Linked DNA regions of Caenorhabditis elegans. The protein of the gene in region 1 interacts with the protein of each later gene in a pairwise test. Each region holds a gene or a part of one and is shown in the gene's direction. Other genes may lie near its edges. The genes, in order: cdc-14, memi-3, ndx-1 and gtf-2E1.

Region 1 (6,416 bases):
GTTCTGCATTCATTTGCTTATCCTCGTCGTCTTCTTTATCGTATTTCATAGACTGAATATTTGTACGTATTAATTCGATATTATTATCCATTTACTTGCCTGTAAAGCTTCAATAGTGTCCTGATATTTTCCATCCGTGGGCATTTCTGTCATGAATGCAGGATGTTGATCAATCTCTTTGCACCAGTCATCGAAATCAAACGGTTTTCGTTCTTCTTTCTTATCAGACTGAAAATGTAAGATTTAATGTCACGATTGCAGAGATTTAAATATGAAATTACTTTTCTCGCAGCCATTTCTTCCATGAACTGATCTAGGTCGTCATCAAGTTTCTTCGCAAGGGCTGCTCGCTCTGACTCAGTGAATTTCTTCTTCTGGGGAAGATCCATTGGTGAATATTGATGATTCATTCTGAAAATTAACGTTTAAAATAAATATAAAACAAAGAGTAACCGAAAAGAATGCAGTTAAAACTTTATTTTCAGAAATTTTAGGAAATAAAAAAGAATGAGACGACACCAGTTTTAGGAATGCGATCTTGTGGAAAGCGGGTGTATGAACAAAAAACAACGCAAAAGAGTATATTTTTTTAGTTGTAAAATCTTTCAAGTTTAGCTTTTTGGCTTCAAAAAAAGTTTATTAATTGATCAATTACCCTAATCATAGTAAACAATTGTTTTTTTAAAGAAACATTGTTCTCAGGTTTTGCATTCTTCTAAAGTGAGTGGTCTCGACACACGCGCAAGTGCGCTCCGCTGAGAAAAATTACATTCAAAATTTATTTTTGTGTTTTTTTATTCATTTTTATTTTTCAACAATCTTTTCTTTTTCTCCTATTGTAAGACATTTTGCATAAAATATTATTTCAATATTTTTATAATTTAATGGAAATCTCCAATAAAAGAAGCCTTCTCTGCCATCAGCGGCAACAAAATTTCTCAAAATCTAGTTTTAAATATGAATAAATTTATAATTTAAATAGTAGATGCTAGAAACGTAATGAATTTCAGAAGAAAAAAATTTTAAATCTGTATGTTTTAAAATCTTATCAAATCCCAAATTTTGAATCATATTTTATAAGTATAAAATATAATTATAACTCTTAGTTGCATTTTTGAAACTGCCCAAAATATATATATAGTTCTCAAATTAATCCAATTTCTTATATCTTCATTGAATTCAACAAAATCGATTTCTTCTCCTTTTTAATAAAATTCAATTCTTCTTTTCTTTGTTAGTAACTTGTTCATTTTCTTTGTATAATAACCAATGCAATACTGCCCTACTGCAAACAAATTCAAACACAAGACAGTCAATGTGACTGAACAATTGGCACGCTGCCAAACCCCGCCAAAGTCTCTGCGTCACCTTCATTTCCCTACTGTTTCCTATTCTTTCTCAGGGCCAAGTGCATCATCATTCTGTGTGGGAGAGATCGGGAAGGGACACTCTCTGCGACTCGTGTTTATTTCTTCTCCCAGCAGCCCAACCCAATTGCATGTCACATTTTTCACATCATTACTCGACATCTTATCACCTAATCGATAAATTCTTAGAACTCTCCTTTTATTTTCGTACAGTACCCGAATTCCTCTATTTCTTATTTACCTCTATTCTCTTGCTTTCCGAGCAGCTGAGCCAACTTTCGTTTGTATTTATCTAGCCACACAGCACGAACACAATCGTTTTTTTATTGCAGGCGCTACGGAATGTGCTAGTAGAGGCAGAACCATATAATAGTAATAAAAAAAATGAGAGAAGACCACTCCCCACGTCGTAACAATACAATTGAAAATACTTTGACAGAAGTGAGTTGTTCATTTTAAAATGTTTGAAAATCTGAAAATAATATATTTTAATTTCAGTTGCTACCCAATCGACTTTATTTCGGTTGCTTTCCCAATCCTGATGCTATCGACAAATCAGATAAATCAGTAAAGAAAACTTGCTTCATCAATATCAACAACAAGTTTCATTACGAACCTTTTTACGAGGATTTTGGTCCATGGAATCTTTCAGTTCTCTATCGATTATGTGTCCAAGTAGGCAAACTGCTAGAGGTGAGCTCATTCCAAGATTGATGATAGATTAGATAACACACTCGTTTAGGTCGAAGAAAAGCGAAGCCGACGAGTGGTGCTTTTTTGTCAGGATGATGGGACAGGGCAATATGACAAAATACGAGTAAATACTGCCTATGTACTCGGAGCATATCTGGTAAGTTAATGACAGAAATGTATATTTTCTAAAAATTCTTGATCTCTAAAATAATGAAAATGTATTTCAGATAATCTATCAAGGATTCTCTGCCGACGATGCATATTTGAAAGTGTCTTCCGGAGAAACTGTAAAATTTGTTGGATTCCGTGATGCCTCTATGGGATCACCTCAATATCTTCTCCATTTGCATGATGTTTTGCGAGGAATCGAAAAAGCATTGAAATTTGGATGGCTCGACTTCTCAGACTTTGACTATGAGGAATATGAGTTTTATGAGCGCGTTGAGAATGGAGATTTCAATTGGATTATCCCAGGAAAAATTCTAAGTTTCTGCGGGCCTCATAATGAAAGCCGCGAGGAGAACGGGTATCCGTATCATGCTCCAGATGTTTATTTCGACTACTTCCGTGAGAACAAAGTTTCAACAATTGTTCGGTTGAATGCAAAAAACTATGATGCTTCGAAGTTCACAAAAGCCGGATTTGATCATGTTGACTTATTCTTCATAGATGGAAGTACACCTTCTGATGAAATCATGCTGAAATTTATAAAAGTTGTTGATAATACAAAAGGAGGAGTCGCTGTTCACTGCAAAGCAGGTCTCGGGAGAACTGGGACTTTGATCGCTTGTTGGATGATGAAAGAGTATGGATTGACTGCTGGAGAGTGTATGGGTTGGCTACGTGTATGTCGACCTGGCTCAGTTATCGGACCACAACAACCTTATCTCATTGAGAAACAAAAGTTCTGTTGGTCACTGTCCCAATCAAATGGTGTTCATCTTACTCAAAACAAAGAAGAAAAAAGAAATGTACGACGTCTTGTTAATCAAGTGGATGATATAAATTTAGGAGAAGAAAGGATATCTCCGAAAAGTCGAGAAAACACTCGTCCAAATATCCTTCGAAGGCGTGTGCAAGTTCAAAATGGAAGGTCAACTGCTCCAGTAACAATAGCCCCTGCTGGAACATCCGAATCTAGAAGATCCACTAAACCATCTCGTGTCGTCGATGAGACTGCTCTAGACGATCAAGGAAGATCACAAGGCGACCGACTTCTACAATTGAAAGCCAAGCATCAACACGAATCAGAGACAACAAGTCCCAACAGTTCCTCGAGTCGGAGATTTGTCAAAAGTTCAACACCACAAATGACTGTTCCGAGCCAAGCATATTTGAATCGAAATCGTGAACCAATTATTGTCACACCGTCAAAAAATGGAACATCATCTGGAACGAGTAGCCGTCAGTTAAAAACAACACCAAATGGAAATGTTGCTTATCGAACTAGAAATTCATCAGGAAATACCACGTCAACTCTTACTAGAACTGTAAGTTATAAACAAACTTGGTATATTAAAAATGAGCTCTCATTCAACGCCAGAAAGTTTTAGTTTAGCCATAAACAAAACAGTTTCAGGGAAACGAGAGCTACAGATTCCACAACTCGTTGTTCTACGAGGTATAACTCTCACTCATTGTGTGCTCAAACCATTTTCTTTTTTCCCAAACAATTTGCTTTCAGTTTAAACGTGGTGTGAAATATTTTAGAGTTGCTTTATTCCTAATCCCTCATCATACCATTGTTTTAGATTACCATAATCAATTGAGATATTACTCAGATGCAAAATTCTGTGGTTTTTGCGGCAAAAATATCGTGCCCGGTCTCGACACGACAATTTTTTTAAATGCAAAAGAGCATGCGCCTTTAATAGAGTACTGTAATTTCAATCTCACGCTGCTGCGGAATTTCGTCGATTTTTCCGCAATAACGAACATTTAAAATTACAGTACTCTTTACGCCGTTGTGCGCACGCCTTTGTGCCGAAACCGGGTACCGTATTTTCTGAGCAAAAATTTCAATTTTCTGCGCCTTTGTAATATTCAATATTTTCATTAATTTATTTTTCTTTTTTTTCAGCCAGCATCTGCTGTATTCCCGTCAATGGCATCTCGAAGAAGTGAGACCACACGATACTTGTCACCGACTACACCAATAAAACCAATGTCCCCTTCATATACCGATGGAACCAGCCCCCGCTATAAGGCGAGACTCCGATCTGAAAATCCAATTGGAAGTACCACATCTACTCCATTCAGCCTTCAACCACAGGTGAGTAATTGGGGAAACTAAATTAGATAGATACATTGAAATTAAATCTTCTCAAAATTCTGCATGATAATTTATTTGGTTAATTCTTCCCACTTGCATGCTCCTTCTTAAAAGGACCATAATCACATCCCCGTTATTTATTTTAAATATCGTGACGTGGCAGTGTTGTATCTCGTTGCAGTTTGGTCTTGTTCGAGTGCCTCCTGATTCACCGCATAGTATAATGGCTCATCGTCCACCACCGACAACGTCGTCTCGAGCTCCACTTTCTCCACATAACTATTCAACAACTCAAGGATATTCGACATCGTCTCGTGGATTATACGGAGACAAGAAACCATTGGCACGTGGATCGGTTTCCACTTCAACATTACCGTCAATGTATATGACAAGAAGTTGTGAGCGGAAATGATGAATGTACACACTACCGTATCCCTACTCCTCTCACATTGCTACTCTCAATTCATTCAATCATTTTGTTGCCTTTTCTATCATCTTATCCGAGCCTACGGTACAGACAGTTTTTTATTTCGGGTGAACTTTGAAACTTTCTGAACTATATAAATTCAAGGCTGTTCCTGTAAATACCAAAAATTGAAGAATTTCTGTACAACGAACAAGATAGCTGCTCTTGCTCTAAAAATCAAATCTCGATATTGTCTACTAAAACCGTGCTCTTTTTTATTACACATTCTGTATGCTTTTCTTAGTTTGTCACGTGTGCTCATGTTGCTCCTTTTACATTTTGCTCTTGTTAATTGTCGTACTACATTCCATTTTATAGCATCTAACCTTCCTATTTGAATTTTGAACAGATTTAATAAACCTCTTTTTAAAAAAATCTATTCTTTCTTCATCGTTCCAGATAACCAAATGCTCTTTGACTGCTGAAAGCAAGCCACCAAAGCGGATACTCTCAATGCCAGGGACTTCTAAATCTACGTCCTCTCTCAAAAAAATTCAAGTCTCCCGACCAAGACCGTATCCATCAACAGGGGTTCGTGTAGAGCTATGTGCCAATGGGAAAAGCTATGATATTAGACCAAGGAAAGAAGCTCACGTTATTCCTGGAGCTGGTCTCGCAGCGAATACAGAAGCTCTTTTAGGGGTATGTAAACTTGTGAACACTTTGAGTTAGAACTTCATCAAGAAATATTAAGGCTCAATTTTTTACAGAAAAGAAGAAAAACTGCCTCGTAATTCGTAAGAACGACATCGAAATCAGATAAACTCTCAACTTCTCATAATTTTTCAAATTTCATAATATTCACTAGTTCTCAAACTTTTATCCTATTTCTAAAATACAGCTCCCAGCAAGCGATTGACATTTTACCTTGTCTAGTCCTTTCTCCGATAATAATGCCATAATATTACATCTGCCTTTACAAACCTTAGCTTTCAAACTTGTCGATCGAACGACTTTTGTATTCATGAATTAATCATTGTATGTATATTCAAAAAACTGTATCATAGTGCATGCCAACTGACGCAGGCGTCGAAAAATTTTATGTATTATTGATGGTTTCATTGCTTTATTCACTTTATTCATTGGAAAATTGTAAAATTATTGCTTGATTATAAATCCTAATAAATCTCGAAAAAAGTGTGCGGCGATATTGCAGTGGGCGGAGTTTCAGAATATTCAGTTTTAAATTTTGATATAATTTTTCTCTTTTGATTTCCGAAAATTGAGCGTTTTCTTTTAAATTCTATTTTTCAGATGCTAGAAAATAATAAATAAATATTTTTATAATTTTTTAATGTACAAAATTTATGTTTCAGAAATGTCTGAAAATGGCGCAGTGGAGGTAGAAATTACAACATCGTATGTCGAAGATAGGAAAGCCGCGGAACAAATGTAATATTCTGAGTATTCGGTCATAAAAATTTAAATCTAAAATTTCAGAGATCCCTCGTCAACACCACCAGAACCAAAAAGACGTTTCGTGCTGGTTTCTCGAAAAATTGTCTCAAAAGAGGTACCATCTGCCGGCCCTACGTGCAGCAATGATCCACGATTGAATTATGCGAGTACTAGAAAGCTTCCGATCAAAATGTATTTAAAAAAGCGTTGAATATTGACT
Region 2 (3,488 bases), on another chromosome or scaffold:
TGAAATCATGGAGAATACGAAGACATTTTTCATGAGTCCGTCCGTCCTCTGTTCTGAAAATTACAAATTAATTCACCTTATTAATGATAAAACTACCGTACAAATTATAAATAAATGAATTCCACATCAACGGATTATTTGTTCTTTTTGAAATCAGTTTATTGATTGTGTGCACCGCCCATACATACTCGTTATTCTGAAAAAGTATTTAGAAATTTTGAGATTCGAGTTGTTTACCCAACCTCCGCGAGTTGAGCACCAATAGCTTTCCCCATAGAGGTTTCGCAAATGATGTCAAGAGTGCAAAGGGTTATAACGGAGAGAACATCAACTTCTTCACTGAAAAGAAACATTTGAACGAGTTATCAATTAAAATTCTTACTCTGCTCCGAGGCAACACAATTTCTGAACCAAAATCTTTGATTGCTCGTTAAAAATCGGCAAAAAATCCTTGAGAATATCATAATGGAATGTTGGTGTCAATAGTTTTCGTTTTGGACGCCATTGTTCCTTTTGGCTCGTCAAAATACTGATTCCAAGCCATGGCTCGAGCAAAACGTATGCGAACCCTTTGTTCAGATGTTTCGTCGATGAGAAAATTGGTTCAACAAGATCGGCAGAGTAGAGCATCAGACATGGAAATGGGCCAATCCAGAGAAGACACATCCGTGGATCTGGATACAAATATCCCATTCCAATCACTTGGTTCATGAATCCCTCTGGATCGGGCTTGGTGATGAGTCCGTGACCAACGATTGGATATGATCGTGGCTGATTGAGGTGCTGGAAATTTATTTGAGTTATCTTTGAATGCATTTTGCAATCTGACCTTCAAAACTTGACGCATTCTCAAATGTTTGTAGAGAAGCCAAGCGATCACAGTCGCCATAGCGAGAAGTACAGCGGGGATGATGACCCCCATTGCAAAACCTTCTGAAATAATTTATTTGTGCGAAGAAACGAGCAAAACGCGTTTAAAACATGAGAAAAAGCGTTTGTTAAGCTTTGGTTCTAAAAAAAGAAAAAAAACGAACAGTTTTTGAATCAACATTCAAATTTCACGCATGTCGTAGTGAGACCCATCTGAAAATCGCCATGCGCCTTTAAAGAGTACGGTAGGCTCAAAAAAATTCTAAAACTGATTTTTGTTGTTTTCTGATATATCATGATATTTAAATCTTGATTTAATGATTAAAAACTTTCAATCGCGTTAATTTTTCAACAAAAAAAAAAGAAAACAAATCCAAAATTATTTTTCAATAAGTATTGTACTTTTTATGAATGCATCGCCTATTTGACCTATTCGATCTCCCCCGCGAAAAGTCAGCGCAACAATTGTGTTATTTTAGGCCCAACGAAAATTTTTGATTGTGAACATTCTTCTACTTTGCTGATGTTCAGAGAGCCGTAATGAAATTTCATAAATATTGTTTTATCGGTGAAGCATTATTAATCTGTTAATCACTTGAGTACATTGTTTTTTTTAAAGTTTTATCTTTAATTTTTGCTTCGAATTCTTATTTTTCCATTAATTTTTCAAACCAACGTTTTTTAGAATGTCAGCTCCGTCCCGTACCGTTCTTCGCGAATTGACGGCGACCAAATACGTGGCCAACTACACCGATGAATATCAATTGGAAACCGCTCGAGCCGGTTGCTCAGCCCTCCCACCACAACCCAACATCAATCATGATGCAATTATCGAAGGGCATGGAGAAGACGTGGAGCTCGTCGAGGATAAGAACTACCGTTCCCTGCATCGTATCGATGAAACTCCAAAGCTCGTCGACAAGAAGCCGAGCAAGGCAATCATCCGCGATGAAGCTGTCAAAGTGCTAAGAGACATTCAAACAATGCCGATTGAAAATCTCCGTCTCAAGCGCTACGACTTCTTCTCGCAAAGATGGTTCAACACGACCAGAGAATCGGAGAAAGCGCTTGTCGAGCACGTGCTCCTTCATCCGAACCAGCGACCACACTATTTCGCCGCTCAGTGCCGCATGCTTTCGGCCGAAGATATCTCCAGTCTGATTCTAGTTAGTTTCTTGAGTATATTTTTCCCAAAAAAATTTTTTTATTTCAGACTTCCCTCCTGGCCGAGCCGAAAGAGACGGGTCAAAATGTGGTTCGATTTGCGATCCAGGCAAAGACTGCAATGCCGTTCCAGCAATTGTTTGCAATTCTCGAAAAACTGGAGATGGAAATCGAAGGCTTCCAGATGACAGACAGCTTTGTGGTGGCAACATTGATCCGATCACAGAGCAAGAGTGTACGTAAAATAGTTTTCTATTTCACACCGATAACTTTTCATATTTCAGACTACCACTCGTCGCCTGCGAACAACAAACTGCCGGGAATACGGAAATCTCGAGCCAGGACTCGATTCACAAGGCCGACTGATGGCCTCGACTGCATCAATCACGTGTTCGATTCGAGGAAAGCGCCACGTGGAAACGAGGATCGTGTACAATAACAACTCGAGCGCCAGGGATCCTTTCCGGAGATATAGAGTGAGTTGAATAGCAATAATTTATCGGTTTCCAATTTATAACGTTTTCAGTACATCGAATTGGAGCAAACGGTGAAGTGCATGAACCGACGAGTGCAGATTGTCGAAGAGCCAGTCGAATTTCATGAATTCGAGGTCGAAAACGATATGGTCTCGTTGAGAAATGGAATGGTGCTTGTCGACGACCTAATCTCGTTCCTCGAAACATTCGAACTGGATGAAGAGTGAATTCATTTGTCCAATAATTAGTTATAATGTGCATAAGTTTTTGTATATATCTATCTGAATAACTAAGTGGTTCCTGTTAAATATATCAACTAACTTTCCCCTATTTTATTTTCCATTCCTCCAACTCACCATGACCCTCGAATATTTTGTTTATGTTCAACATGTATATTGCTTGAATTAACTTTACCAAATCATGAACTGGTTGATTTAAAAAATCTTTTTAACATGACTCTGAAAAATTTTTCAAATTAAATTCTTCTGATAAGCTGATAATTTTCTGGTTTCAGATATCAAAATTTTTATACAGCCGGGTACAATGATTTACGATATGGAAGATGCCTCCAGCCTAAAAAGATGAATTCGAAATTAGAATTAATGAACGCAAATTTCTGAAAACGCTGGCAATTCCAGCTTGCGACATGCAACTTTTCGATACTTGAGGCTTGATAGGCAATTGGCCACATTACATAGTGATCATAATTCTGCAATTTCTAAATGTCGTTTCCTGACCGATATCTTGGCTCGAAAACATGTGAAAACTTATTGACAGTAATACTGATTGAATTCAAGCAAACATATTATTCAAAATAAATGTAATATGAAATATCTTTAGGATTTTTTATATTTGTGGCCCTAAAGAGGGCCGTTGGGTTCGGTGGGTTTGTTTAAAGAAGAAAGTTCTTACTCCTTATCTCCTCCAGTCTTCTTTGGGAGAAGAACGGCTTGGATGTTTGGAAGAACTCCTCCTTGG
Region 3 (4,773 bases), on another chromosome or scaffold:
AATCTCAAGACCAGGGTTCGAGTCCCCACCGTGGCACCTTTTTTAATAATTTTTTTTTAATGTGACTAGACTAATTCGATAGTGCTGAATTCGAAAATCATAGACTCACAATCTGAATATGAAGAAAAACCGAAAACTGGTTTTCCAAAACTGCCAATTTTTGGCTCAAACCTCCGACAATTAAAATCCTTTCTCACAAAGTGCTCAATGTGCAATTTCAATTCGAAAAACATGTTTTTCTGCGTCTCTACCCCCATTTCCAAATAGGTCAGAGAAAACAAAAAGGCGCGGGAGGGGCTCTTTTTAGTCACCCAGCCGCCTTCCAATGTGGCGGGGAGAGGGCCCCCACGACGCCATTTAATGGATTTGTTTGCATTTCGTTGTGTGTGCATACTTGCAAGCATATACTATTCCTTGGTTTTCTCGATTTGTGCACTTTTGCAAGTTTTCGCCGGAATCAAGAGGGAATTTTTGGATCACAGGGATTACAAATAGTCTGAAATTTTCTAAATATTAATAGTTATGTTAATTTTTTGAAGTTTAAGTCATTTTTGAACACTTTAAAAATTTCGCTCGAATGGCTCAGTTGGATTTTCCAAAACTACCAATCACAACACCGGGGTTCGACTCCGGTAGATGACACCAATTTTTCACTCTTTTCTAAAATATAATTTCCTCTATGTACCATGTGTTCCAATTTATGATGCTCAGAAAGCCTATGTCATTTATACCGGAAGCTATAGAAGACATTTGATACTACAAAAGGTACTTGACCCACCCTCCAAACCAACGATATCCTAAGAAATTCCTGCTATACACATGCAAAATGTTGATCTCGCCATTAAAAACTGCTTAAAAAAGCCAATAAAAATATTTGCCACAGCGGGGGTTCGAACCCCGGCGTTGAGATTGGAAGCTATCCAAAATCCCACTGCGCCATTCGTACATTTTCTGAAATTTTGTAATATGACCCAAATTTTTGGTAAAAACTGGTTTTGAACCTTTTTTCAGACCGTTTTAAACCTCGCCGCCTCATTTTCCCAGTCAATCCCGGCGTTTTCTCCCTCTAATCGCCGTGCCCCATCTCGTCACCCTAGTTTTCGCGCAGTTCATTGCCCAGTTAATAAAGATGTTCCGCCCGTTGCATTTTGCCCTTTTTATCTCTGCGTATCTCAATGTATCGTTTTCCAAAACGTTTCAATTGTGTGTATTTGTTTGGGTGTTCGTATACGTTTTTCGTTGGAAGGAGTTTTTAAAAACGATTTCTAAACATTTTCATAGGATTGATATTGATTTTAAGCCACTGCAAAAAATTTTTAAAAATCCAAAAACTTTAAAAAAATTGTTTAAAAAAATTCAAAAAACAAAAGTAAAATTTTTTCCAAAAAAAAAATTCTTTAAAAATGTCAAAAAACTAATATATTGCACAAAAAACCCTTATTAGTTTAATAAAAAAACTGAAAAAATAATTTGCCACCGTGGGGACTTGAACCCCGGTCTTGAGATTACCAACTCCTCCAGAATCCCACTACACCATCCGTGCACTTTTTTGTCAAAAAATTTTTTCGCGTTTCGGAACCATTTTCTTGTAAAAATTTCGTCAGATATATCAGTTTTACCAATTTTTATTCCAGAAAAATGCCACTTGGAAAGTTGGACCTAGTCGAAGAGGAGTACATCGCCGAAAGCGGAGATCACACGCCAGAAGCCTCCCGGCTTATGGGAAATGGTGATTCTGTAGTTGGTAAGCCTTTGAACTGATAGGAATCTGGAAATTATAGAAGTTTCCAGAAAACTTGAATGGTCACACAAATGGGGCAGTTGCGAAGAAGAAAAATGAGCCAAGGGTGCCGGATATGCAGTTGGGCAGTGAGTTTTTCAAGGTTTTTTGTTGTAAATTTGATACTTGAAAAACCTTTTTGAATGAAAAAAAAATAATAAAAAAAAACAAATTTTTAAAAACCTAAATATTCCAGAATGTCGCTATGTAAGGTTACATGACAATGTAAACTATGTCGCTGCTGCAATTATTCTACGGAACCAGGGAGACGACACAGAGGTAATTTTTATTTGCGGCGATGGGTCTCGAAACGAAAAAGCTTTAGTAGCTCAGCCCAAAAAATGATTTTTTATAAAATTCAAATTTCCAGGTGCTCCTAATCCAAGAGGCCAAGAAAAGTTGTCGTGGGAAATGGTATATGCCTGCCGGACGGGTAGAAGCTGGTGAGACAATTGAAGAAGCAGTGGTACGAGAGGTTAAAGAGGAGACTGGGTACAGTTGTGATGTTGTGGAACTCCTGTCACTACAAGTTCAAGGATCCGGATGGTATCGATATGCTTTTTATTGTAATATTACAGGTGAGAACTCAGTGAGCTTATTTATTTTTCTATTAAAAATTTGAATTTTCGCCAAAAATGTTCCTTAAAAATTTGAATTTCCCGCCAAAAACTCTCAGGTTCAGGCATTTTATTTGTAGAAATTTGAACTAAATTCTGCAAATTTTGACCACAATTTTTGAATTTTTTACCTAATTTACAACTTTTGAGCAAAATTCGTACCTTTAGACCCAATTCTGTTAGTTTTGCTCTAAATGTTTCAAAATTAAACCCTCACCACTATGAGCGTGATATTTTGAAACGTTTTCAGTGAATATAGCTATGATTTCTCATCTCAACGCACTTGAATTAGCACATGGTGTCAGGCAGTCCCATCACGGTTCGATCTACAAAAAGTGCGGGATTTTTTTGCCCAAAAAAAATGAAGTCAGCACGTTCTTAAACAGACAAAATCACTTGAAAGGCTGCGTCTCTTCTCCCGCATTTTTTGTAGAAATACGTAGATGAAGCCAGACACCCTGATACCACGTGAATTAGCCAAACGAAGCTTTGAAGAAAGAATTTACCACTGTGGGGACTCGAACCACGGTCTCCCAATTGAAAGGGGTTTCATCGAAAATCCCACTGCGCCACGTGCACAATTTTTTTGAAATACGCTATAAAAAGGTTAAAAATTTTTTTAAAAGCATTTTCAAATTCCATTTTCTGAATTTGTATTTTTCCAGGCGGTGACCTGAAAACAGAACCCGATCAGGAATCCCTAGCCGCAGAGTGGTATAACATCAAGGATCTCAAAGCCAACAAGGTTCAGTTAAGGTATCTGAAATTTTTTTTTTCGATCCTAAATTTTGAAACCAATTTTTTTTTACAGAGGCCGAGATTTCATCCGACTAGTCGACGAGGCCGTCACATACCGAACACACGGCCCCGTCGATTCTATTCCACGTGTAATGCCGTTAAATCAAAACGTTGCTGGATTATTTTTGGAGTTTATGATTGTCAAGCACTCTAGGGATGGGTAAGGGTCTTAGCTGCGAGGGAAAATTCACTAAAAAAAGGTTTATTCAGGCTCCGAACCGAGGTGCTCGTGCACAAGTCGATCAAGGACGAGACGTACCTGCTGGAAGAGGAACAGCCATTCCCAACGGTGGAATTTGGGTTCGAGTACTTCTTTGCGATGGTTGTATCCAAGTGTTATAGGGTGAGCGTGATTTGTAAAAAAAATTAGGCTTAGGTCTAGGCTTAAACATAGGCTTAAACTTAGACTTAAACTTAGGCTAAGGCTTAGTCTTAGCCGGCTCGGTTCACGAATTTCAGTTTTCTTCTGATCCTACAAATTTTCAGCATTTGCTCGAAGAAGGTGCCAATGTAGTATTTACACCGTCTCACGTGACGCGGATAAAATGCCACCCAAAACCAATGGAATCCCTGGCGCACGGAGTCTCAATAAGGGTTTACTGCGAGCACAAGCAATCCGCTTCAAAAGCCATCATTCGGAGTCCGCGGTGAGACATTTTGAATTAAAAACCTTTTAATTACTTTTAATTAGTCTGATAAAACTTTGAAAAAAGAAAGTGCCACAGTGGGGACTCGAACCCAGGTAGTTTGATTATAAAAGGTTCTTGTCGAAAATTCCACTGCGTCATTTGGACATTTTCGACAATTTTCTTTTTCAAAAATCGATTTTAAACCGTTTTTTTTAAAGAGAAGTTCATATATTTGTTCTACCTGAAGTCTTATTGGAAATAATTGAAAAATAAAATAATCCCGAAATTTCAGGTATCACTGGATATCCGTCGAATCACCGGAGACACGACAGCGATTTCACATGGCTCAGAAGCAATTCCGGCCGTCACTTCATATGCTTTAATGCTTTTGGTTTTCTTGAATAAACATTTGAAAAATTATTTTTTTTTTAATTTTCTAAAGACCAACTCTCAATATTAGTTTATTACATACATTTGAAAAAATCATTTTTTTCAAAAATTGAGATCACTGACTCCTTAACAAAGAGCTATAAGTTGGTGGAGGTGGCTCTTGGAGCACGTCATATGCAGGCGGGGGCTGAAGATCCGGTAACTCCGAGGTTTTTCGCAGAATATCTGTATTTCCTTCGTCGAAATCGAATATCGGTGCTTGTGCAGCTAATCGCCGTTTTTTTGCCATACCGACAAGGCACATGTAGATCTGAAAAAAATCGGTTAAAAACATGATTTCTCAACTCAAAATTAACGAAAATTGCTCAAAATTGCTCGAAGTTTCAAAAATTACAAGAAATTTTGATTTTCAATCATTTTTTAAAAAGTGTTCGAATGGCGCAGTGGGATTTTCGCCGAAAGCCTTTTCCAATCAAATGACCGGGGTTCGAGTCCCCACCGTGGCAACGTTTTTTTTCAAGTTTATATGATATTAGACTAATTATAGTGCTCTGATGTC
Region 4 (4,756 bases), on another chromosome or scaffold:
GGAAAAAATTCTCCTCGTTTCAGACTATCTGGCTTTTTTTTCAAATTATTTTTGCAAAAAAATTCTTTCGAAAAACGTTAATAGAATAAATTCTGTTCAAAAATAACTGCAAAAAACAACACAGGTTAGTTAACAAATATATTTCCAGCGGAATCCAAAGAACGAGGTCTCGACAAGATTGTGTACTTCATCGGCTCAGCAATTGCTCCAACTTCCAACGGACCGTCTCTTCTCCATCACCAGCAGCTTCAGCAACTTCTTTTCCATGTCAGTAGTCGAAATTTTGGGTTTGAATTTAAATTTTCGAAATTTCCAGTTTGGCCGAAGTGTGCAGCTTCTTCTATCACAATCTCCATACCGTGATATTTCAATTCCATGGTCTCCATTCTACGCATCTGACTGGGATGCAGCTGACATGTTCCCAACATTCTTGCAAATGTTCGTCACGAAGCCCAATCTCCTTGCAACAATTAGCTCTCCGCATCAGGTATTTTTAGTCGAAAATTCTTGAAATGTCTGAATTTCTGTTTCAGATCACAAAGCAATCGTTGACCGAAGAGCACGCAAACTCGGTGGCTCTTACGATCTCACGAGCATCACTCTGGGAAACCTACCGTACCCTCTTCTGGTCGGACTTTGATCTGTCGATTTACGAGATGGAGGACAGGAAGCAAAAGTTCTGGCTGGATATGTACAAACAAATGTATGAGGAGTATTTCCCGTTCAAAAGAGCCAAAAATGACTATCAACCGTGCTCATTCACACCGATTTTTGCTCTTCAACCACATATGAGCATGTATTATAGGAAGCTGTGGGCTGAGGTGAGGTGGTTTTCCAGTGTTAGAAAATCATCAGAATTTTGATAAATACTTTTAAAAAAAATTATCTCAATTATTTCTGAAAATTGGCTCAATTTCCAGATGCTCGCCTTAGATATCCATGAGACATTTGACGAGGAAGACAATGAAGTGCAAACGGGAGAACGATTGAAAACGACAATATTGAATAGAGGAAGTGGAGATGTTGCGAAGGAATTGTTCAAAAGATTCCAGGTAGGGGAATCTTCTTTTTTTGACTGAAAAATTGGTGAAAAACGGCATTAAAATAAGCTGAAAATCTTAAATTCTGCATGGAAAAATCTCAAAAAATCGTATTTTTTTAAAATTAGAACGCTTTAATTGAACTCTATTTTTACAAGAAGAATTCTAAAAGAGTTCCAAACAATTACTTTCATTTTTTAAATTCCAGAAAAATGAAGCCATTATTTAATTTTTTTTAAAGAAAAATATTCATTTCCATTTTTTCAGGGCCGAAATCCATCAGTCGGAGCCATCTGTGATCACTACGCCCCACCAATGGCCATTCAAGATGAAATGGAAATGTCGGAGAATCAGAGACGATGAAAATTCCCCCCCGGTTTTTGGAGATTTTCCATCTCTTTTTCGCTTCTCACCGGGTTTTCACATATGTTTAGATGATTTTTTTTCTGTTTTTGTTATATTTTTTTGATAGTCTTAAGAAGAAATAGGGTCTCATAGATTGTTCTCTGTTATTTAATGTTTTTCCCCTCATTTTTAATTTTTGTTTTACTTCAGTAATGAATTCTTTTCTTTTTGAAAATTTATCGTTTTTTGAGATATCGTTTTCCAACGATTGAAATATTTTTGTTTTGAAATTGAAAAAAATGTTTATGTTTTTTATTTAACAGGAAAAAAATTGAATTTGTTTTTGAAAATTACCTTTTCCAGGACATTGTGTTATTTTTTTAAAACCAATTTTTGAAATTTTTACTTTTTTTTGGAAATTAAAAAAAAAACGATTATTCCATTTTTTTTTTGGATATTTTTGAGCTGAATTATTTTTAATTTAAATTTTGCTCACTTTTTTGAACAAAAATTATAATTTATTGATCAAAAATTAAAATTTATTCCAAAAACTAAATTTTTCCAGGCATGTCATCTGGCCCAGCGACCTCCGGCTCATCATCGGCTCACACCGAGACCCAAGTGGTGGATGAGGTAACATTTCCGCGAAAAAACCCACTAAATCTGACTAAAAACCGTCTTTTTCAGATTCCGGAGGCACTCAACACTATATTGCTGATGGTGGTAAAGAACTTCTTCTCAAGTGTAAGCGAAAAATCTGATTTTTCAAAAAATTCTTGAATTTTTAATTTTCCAGGAGCACTTTATCATCGTCTACCACATAATGCGAGCCCAGTGCATTCGCGAGGAAAATCTCAAAGCCCGAATACAATTCGATCAGAAAATGCTCAGACAGGTGTGCTGAAACTTGCTTGAAATTCGAAAATTCAAAAAATTTGACAATTTCAGCTCCTCGCGTCTCTGAAAGCTGAAAAACTCGTGAAAGAGCGCACGATTACGCAGAAAAACGAGAATAATCGAACGGTTTCCATCATTTTCTACTATATAAACTATCGGGCTGTGCTCAACGTGGTGCGCTACAAAATCGATCACATGAGGTGTGAAAATATAATTTTTTCACTGAAAGTTTAAAATTTTCCAGACAAAAACTCGAGTCCCGAGAGCAAATGGACACAAATCGAGCTCACTATCGATGTGGAGCGTGTCAGAGTTCTTATGATGTGAGAAAATTCTTTTAAAATAGAAGAATTCTCTGAAAAAATCATATTTAGATGCTGGAAATCAATCGGATATTGGACGCTGAAAGCGGGCGGCTTATTTGCTGGCGGTGCCACGGAGATGTGTTGGCGGATGAGACGGTAGTACCATCGAGGACGACGAGGTACTTGGAATATCCTGAAAATCTGAAAATTCGGAAATTTCTGGGTTCTGAAGCGAAAATTATTATGAATTCTGATCGAGCTCAAAGCGACGAATTGAAAAATTTTCAAATTGACAGATTTTTGAATTTGTTAAATTAAATCTACAGTACTCTAAAATTTTTTGCAATTTTGAGCTCCAAAAAATTGATGAAATTTTACTGTTTAGGGTCTCCTTTCAAAAAAAAACTTCGGGTTACTGTATCTGCATATATATTTTTTTTTATTTTTTAAATTTCCAGAACCGCTGTGGCACGCTTCAACGAACAAATGACACCGCTCTTCTCTCATATTTGTGCTCTAAACGGTATCCAATTGGCTCCGCATCTCCTTGAACCGGATATCACGAAATATTTGGAAGATGACAAAGAACTGCAACTACAGCAACAACAAATGGACTTTACGTCGGGTGGAGGTGGTGGTGGACGGATACAGTTGGGAGGAGTCGCTCATTCTTATCAAAATATCGCTTCGATCAATTATCAGAATGGAGATGCAGTTTTTGTGGATTTAAATGCGGATATTAATAAGTTAGTGGCCATAAGTAGAAAAATAAACTTTGATTCTTAATATTTCAGGGGTCCTGTGGAAGAAGCCAAAATTATGCCAGAATGGCTCAAGGATAATGCAATAGGCGGTGGTGAAGCTTCACACAATGAGCATGTACTGGATCAGGCCAAGTACTTTTAAATGGCTTAACTTTTATATTTCAACAATGAAACCTTTTTTCAGAACCGAGGAAGAAGAAACATCAACGAAACAGCGACGTTATGGACCATCTCTGGACTATCTGAAGGAGATTGAGTGCAGTTCGGAGGAATCTGCTCCAAATGTCAAAATTGAAGAGCCACCTGCCAAGCAAATAAAGATGGAAGTCGACGAGGAAGCTATCAAAATGGAAGTTGACAACGACGAAAGTGAGGAGGAAGACTTGATCCACGTGGCGGGGCGAGCACTTCCGCTGAGCCAAATCACACCTCGAATGGTCGAGAACGAGATGAGTGAGCTGGAGAAGGAGAGCTATTGCAGTGTTGTGCAGGATCTTTTTGCAATGTTCTTTTCTCAACAAATTGCTATTCATTAAGTCTCGGTTTTTTGAGATATTACCGCCAAAATTTAGTGATGTCTAGGATGGTATAGAGGATTGTTTACTCTCCAATTCTCCTAATACCGTCAAAATGACAAATTGCCTTGAAATTTTTATATTTTCCCCTACCATTCCCTCTAGTTTTTCACCTGTTTCATCATCATTTCATCACGGTTCAAATCCTTTTTTATTTTTTTTCTCGTTCCAGAAATTTACTATTGTTTTAAAAATAATATTATTATGATTGTGTTGTTTTACTCTCATCATTTTACACCATTTATTCGAGTACATTTCAAAAATGAAACTTTATTTCGCGAGATTGAGAAATCGAGTTTGAACGTTTGGTTATCATTTACAGATTTTCTTTGCCGTCATGATGGACTGGACGAGAGCGCAGACGCCAGGTGAGCTGGAAAAAAGCGATATTGACTGGCGGGAATTTAAATTTTCAAATGACAAACCTCGAAAGTGACCTCCTGTCCCGGTTTCACGGCATATCTCTTTGGATGCTTACGGATGATGTCCTCAATCTGTTTGCCGGCTTCCTGGAAGAGAAAATTAAAAAGTTAGGCCATTGACAGGAAAATATTGCATCGCCAATGTTTCTTTTAGGATTTTCAAGAAAATTCAGAAGGATCTAATAAATTACATTAGAAACTCGAAATTTTTGTTAAAGATCTTTAAAGATCTCAAAGCTTTGCATTAAAGATCTCAAAGCTTTGCATTCAAAAAATGCAACCACGCTCTAATGGTAAAGCGCGGGTTTGGAGATCAACCCCCAAGCGCGCTCTATCGCACTCTCACACCTCTTGAGCGGTTCCCTTGACATCAATGTACTTCGTATGATCATAGTTCGCGTAGTGACA

What was found.
Region 2: the proteins of cdc-14 (region 1) and memi-3 interact in a two-hybrid assay, tested with the Caenorhabditis elegans proteins (one large-scale study listed by BioGRID).
Region 3: the proteins of cdc-14 (region 1) and ndx-1 interact in a two-hybrid assay, tested with the Caenorhabditis elegans proteins (one large-scale study listed by BioGRID).
Region 4: the proteins of cdc-14 (region 1) and gtf-2E1 interact in a two-hybrid assay, tested with the Caenorhabditis elegans proteins (one large-scale study listed by BioGRID).

The regions. Positions count from the first base shown.
Region 1 is NC_003280.10:5,588,709-5,595,124, reverse strand, and holds cdc-14 (Tyrosine-protein phosphatase cdc-14), read left to right. Parts: upstream 1-1,697; 5' UTR 1,698-1,751; coding exon 1,752-1,808; intron 1,809-1,865; coding exon 1,866-2,060; intron 2,061-2,109; coding exon 2,110-2,217; intron 2,218-2,287; coding exon 2,288-3,550; intron 3,551-3,639; coding exon 3,640-3,681; intron 3,682-4,140; coding exon 4,141-4,332; intron 4,333-4,513; coding exon of another isoform or gene 4,514-4,744; exon of another isoform or gene 4,745-5,177; intron 5,178-5,197; coding exon 5,198-5,470; 3' UTR 5,471-5,508; coding exon of another isoform or gene 5,509-5,532; 3' UTR 5,533-5,899; downstream 5,900-6,416. Other genes in the region: ttc-4 (Cns1/TTC4 wheel domain-containing protein), read right to left, coding at 1-52, 100-228, 282-389; C17G10.13 (THAP-type domain-containing protein), read left to right, coding at 6,117-6,190, 6,239-6,388. UniProt on the Caenorhabditis elegans protein: Protein phosphatase that negatively regulates the G1-to-S phase transition to inhibit the cell cycle and establish quiescence in cells of multiple lineages including vulval, hypodermal and intestinal.
Region 2 is NC_003282.8:11,401,406-11,404,893, reverse strand, and holds memi-3 (MEiosis-to-MItosis transition associated), read left to right. Parts: upstream 1-1,555; 5' UTR 1,556-1,556; coding exon 1,557-2,036; intron 2,037-2,083; coding exon 2,084-2,269; intron 2,270-2,318; coding exon 2,319-2,510; intron 2,511-2,560; coding exon 2,561-2,737; 3' UTR 2,738-2,949; downstream 2,950-3,488. Other genes in the region: cyp-31A2 (CYtochrome P450 family), read right to left, coding at 1-53, 102-196, 243-339, 383-783, 830-922; his-65 (Histone H2A), read right to left, coding at 3,419-3,488.
Region 3 is NC_003279.8:12,677,573-12,682,345, forward strand, and holds ndx-1 (Putative nudix hydrolase 1), read left to right. Parts: upstream 1-1,634; 5' UTR 1,635-1,638; coding exon 1,639-1,744; intron 1,745-1,791; coding exon 1,792-1,869; intron 1,870-1,976; coding exon 1,977-2,059; intron 2,060-2,150; coding exon 2,151-2,358; intron 2,359-3,062; coding exon 3,063-3,153; intron 3,154-3,208; coding exon 3,209-3,355; intron 3,356-3,405; coding exon 3,406-3,538; intron 3,539-3,681; coding exon 3,682-3,842; intron 3,843-4,116; coding exon 4,117-4,207; 3' UTR 4,208-4,240; downstream 4,241-4,773. Other genes in the region: T26E3.10 (resistance to Congo red protein), read right to left, coding at 4,330-4,524. UniProt on the Caenorhabditis elegans protein: Probably mediates the hydrolysis of some nucleoside diphosphate derivatives.
Region 4 is NC_003282.8:17,253,351-17,258,106, forward strand, and holds gtf-2E1 (HTH TFE/IIEalpha-type domain-containing protein), read left to right. Parts: upstream 1-1,950; 5' UTR 1,951-1,952; coding exon 1,953-2,018; intron 2,019-2,072; coding exon 2,073-2,129; intron 2,130-2,181; coding exon 2,182-2,280; intron 2,281-2,333; coding exon 2,334-2,482; intron 2,483-2,526; coding exon 2,527-2,605; intron 2,606-2,656; coding exon 2,657-2,766; intron 2,767-3,045; coding exon 3,046-3,333; intron 3,334-3,381; coding exon 3,382-3,483; intron 3,484-3,535; coding exon 3,536-3,887; 3' UTR 3,888-4,212; downstream 4,213-4,756. Other genes in the region: eelo-2 (Peptidase M3A/M3B catalytic domain-containing protein), read left to right, coding at 149-267, 317-487, 534-821, 921-1,052, 1,308-1,403; phyh-1 (phytanoyl-CoA dioxygenase), read right to left, coding at 4,243-4,299, 4,352-4,435, 4,697-4,756.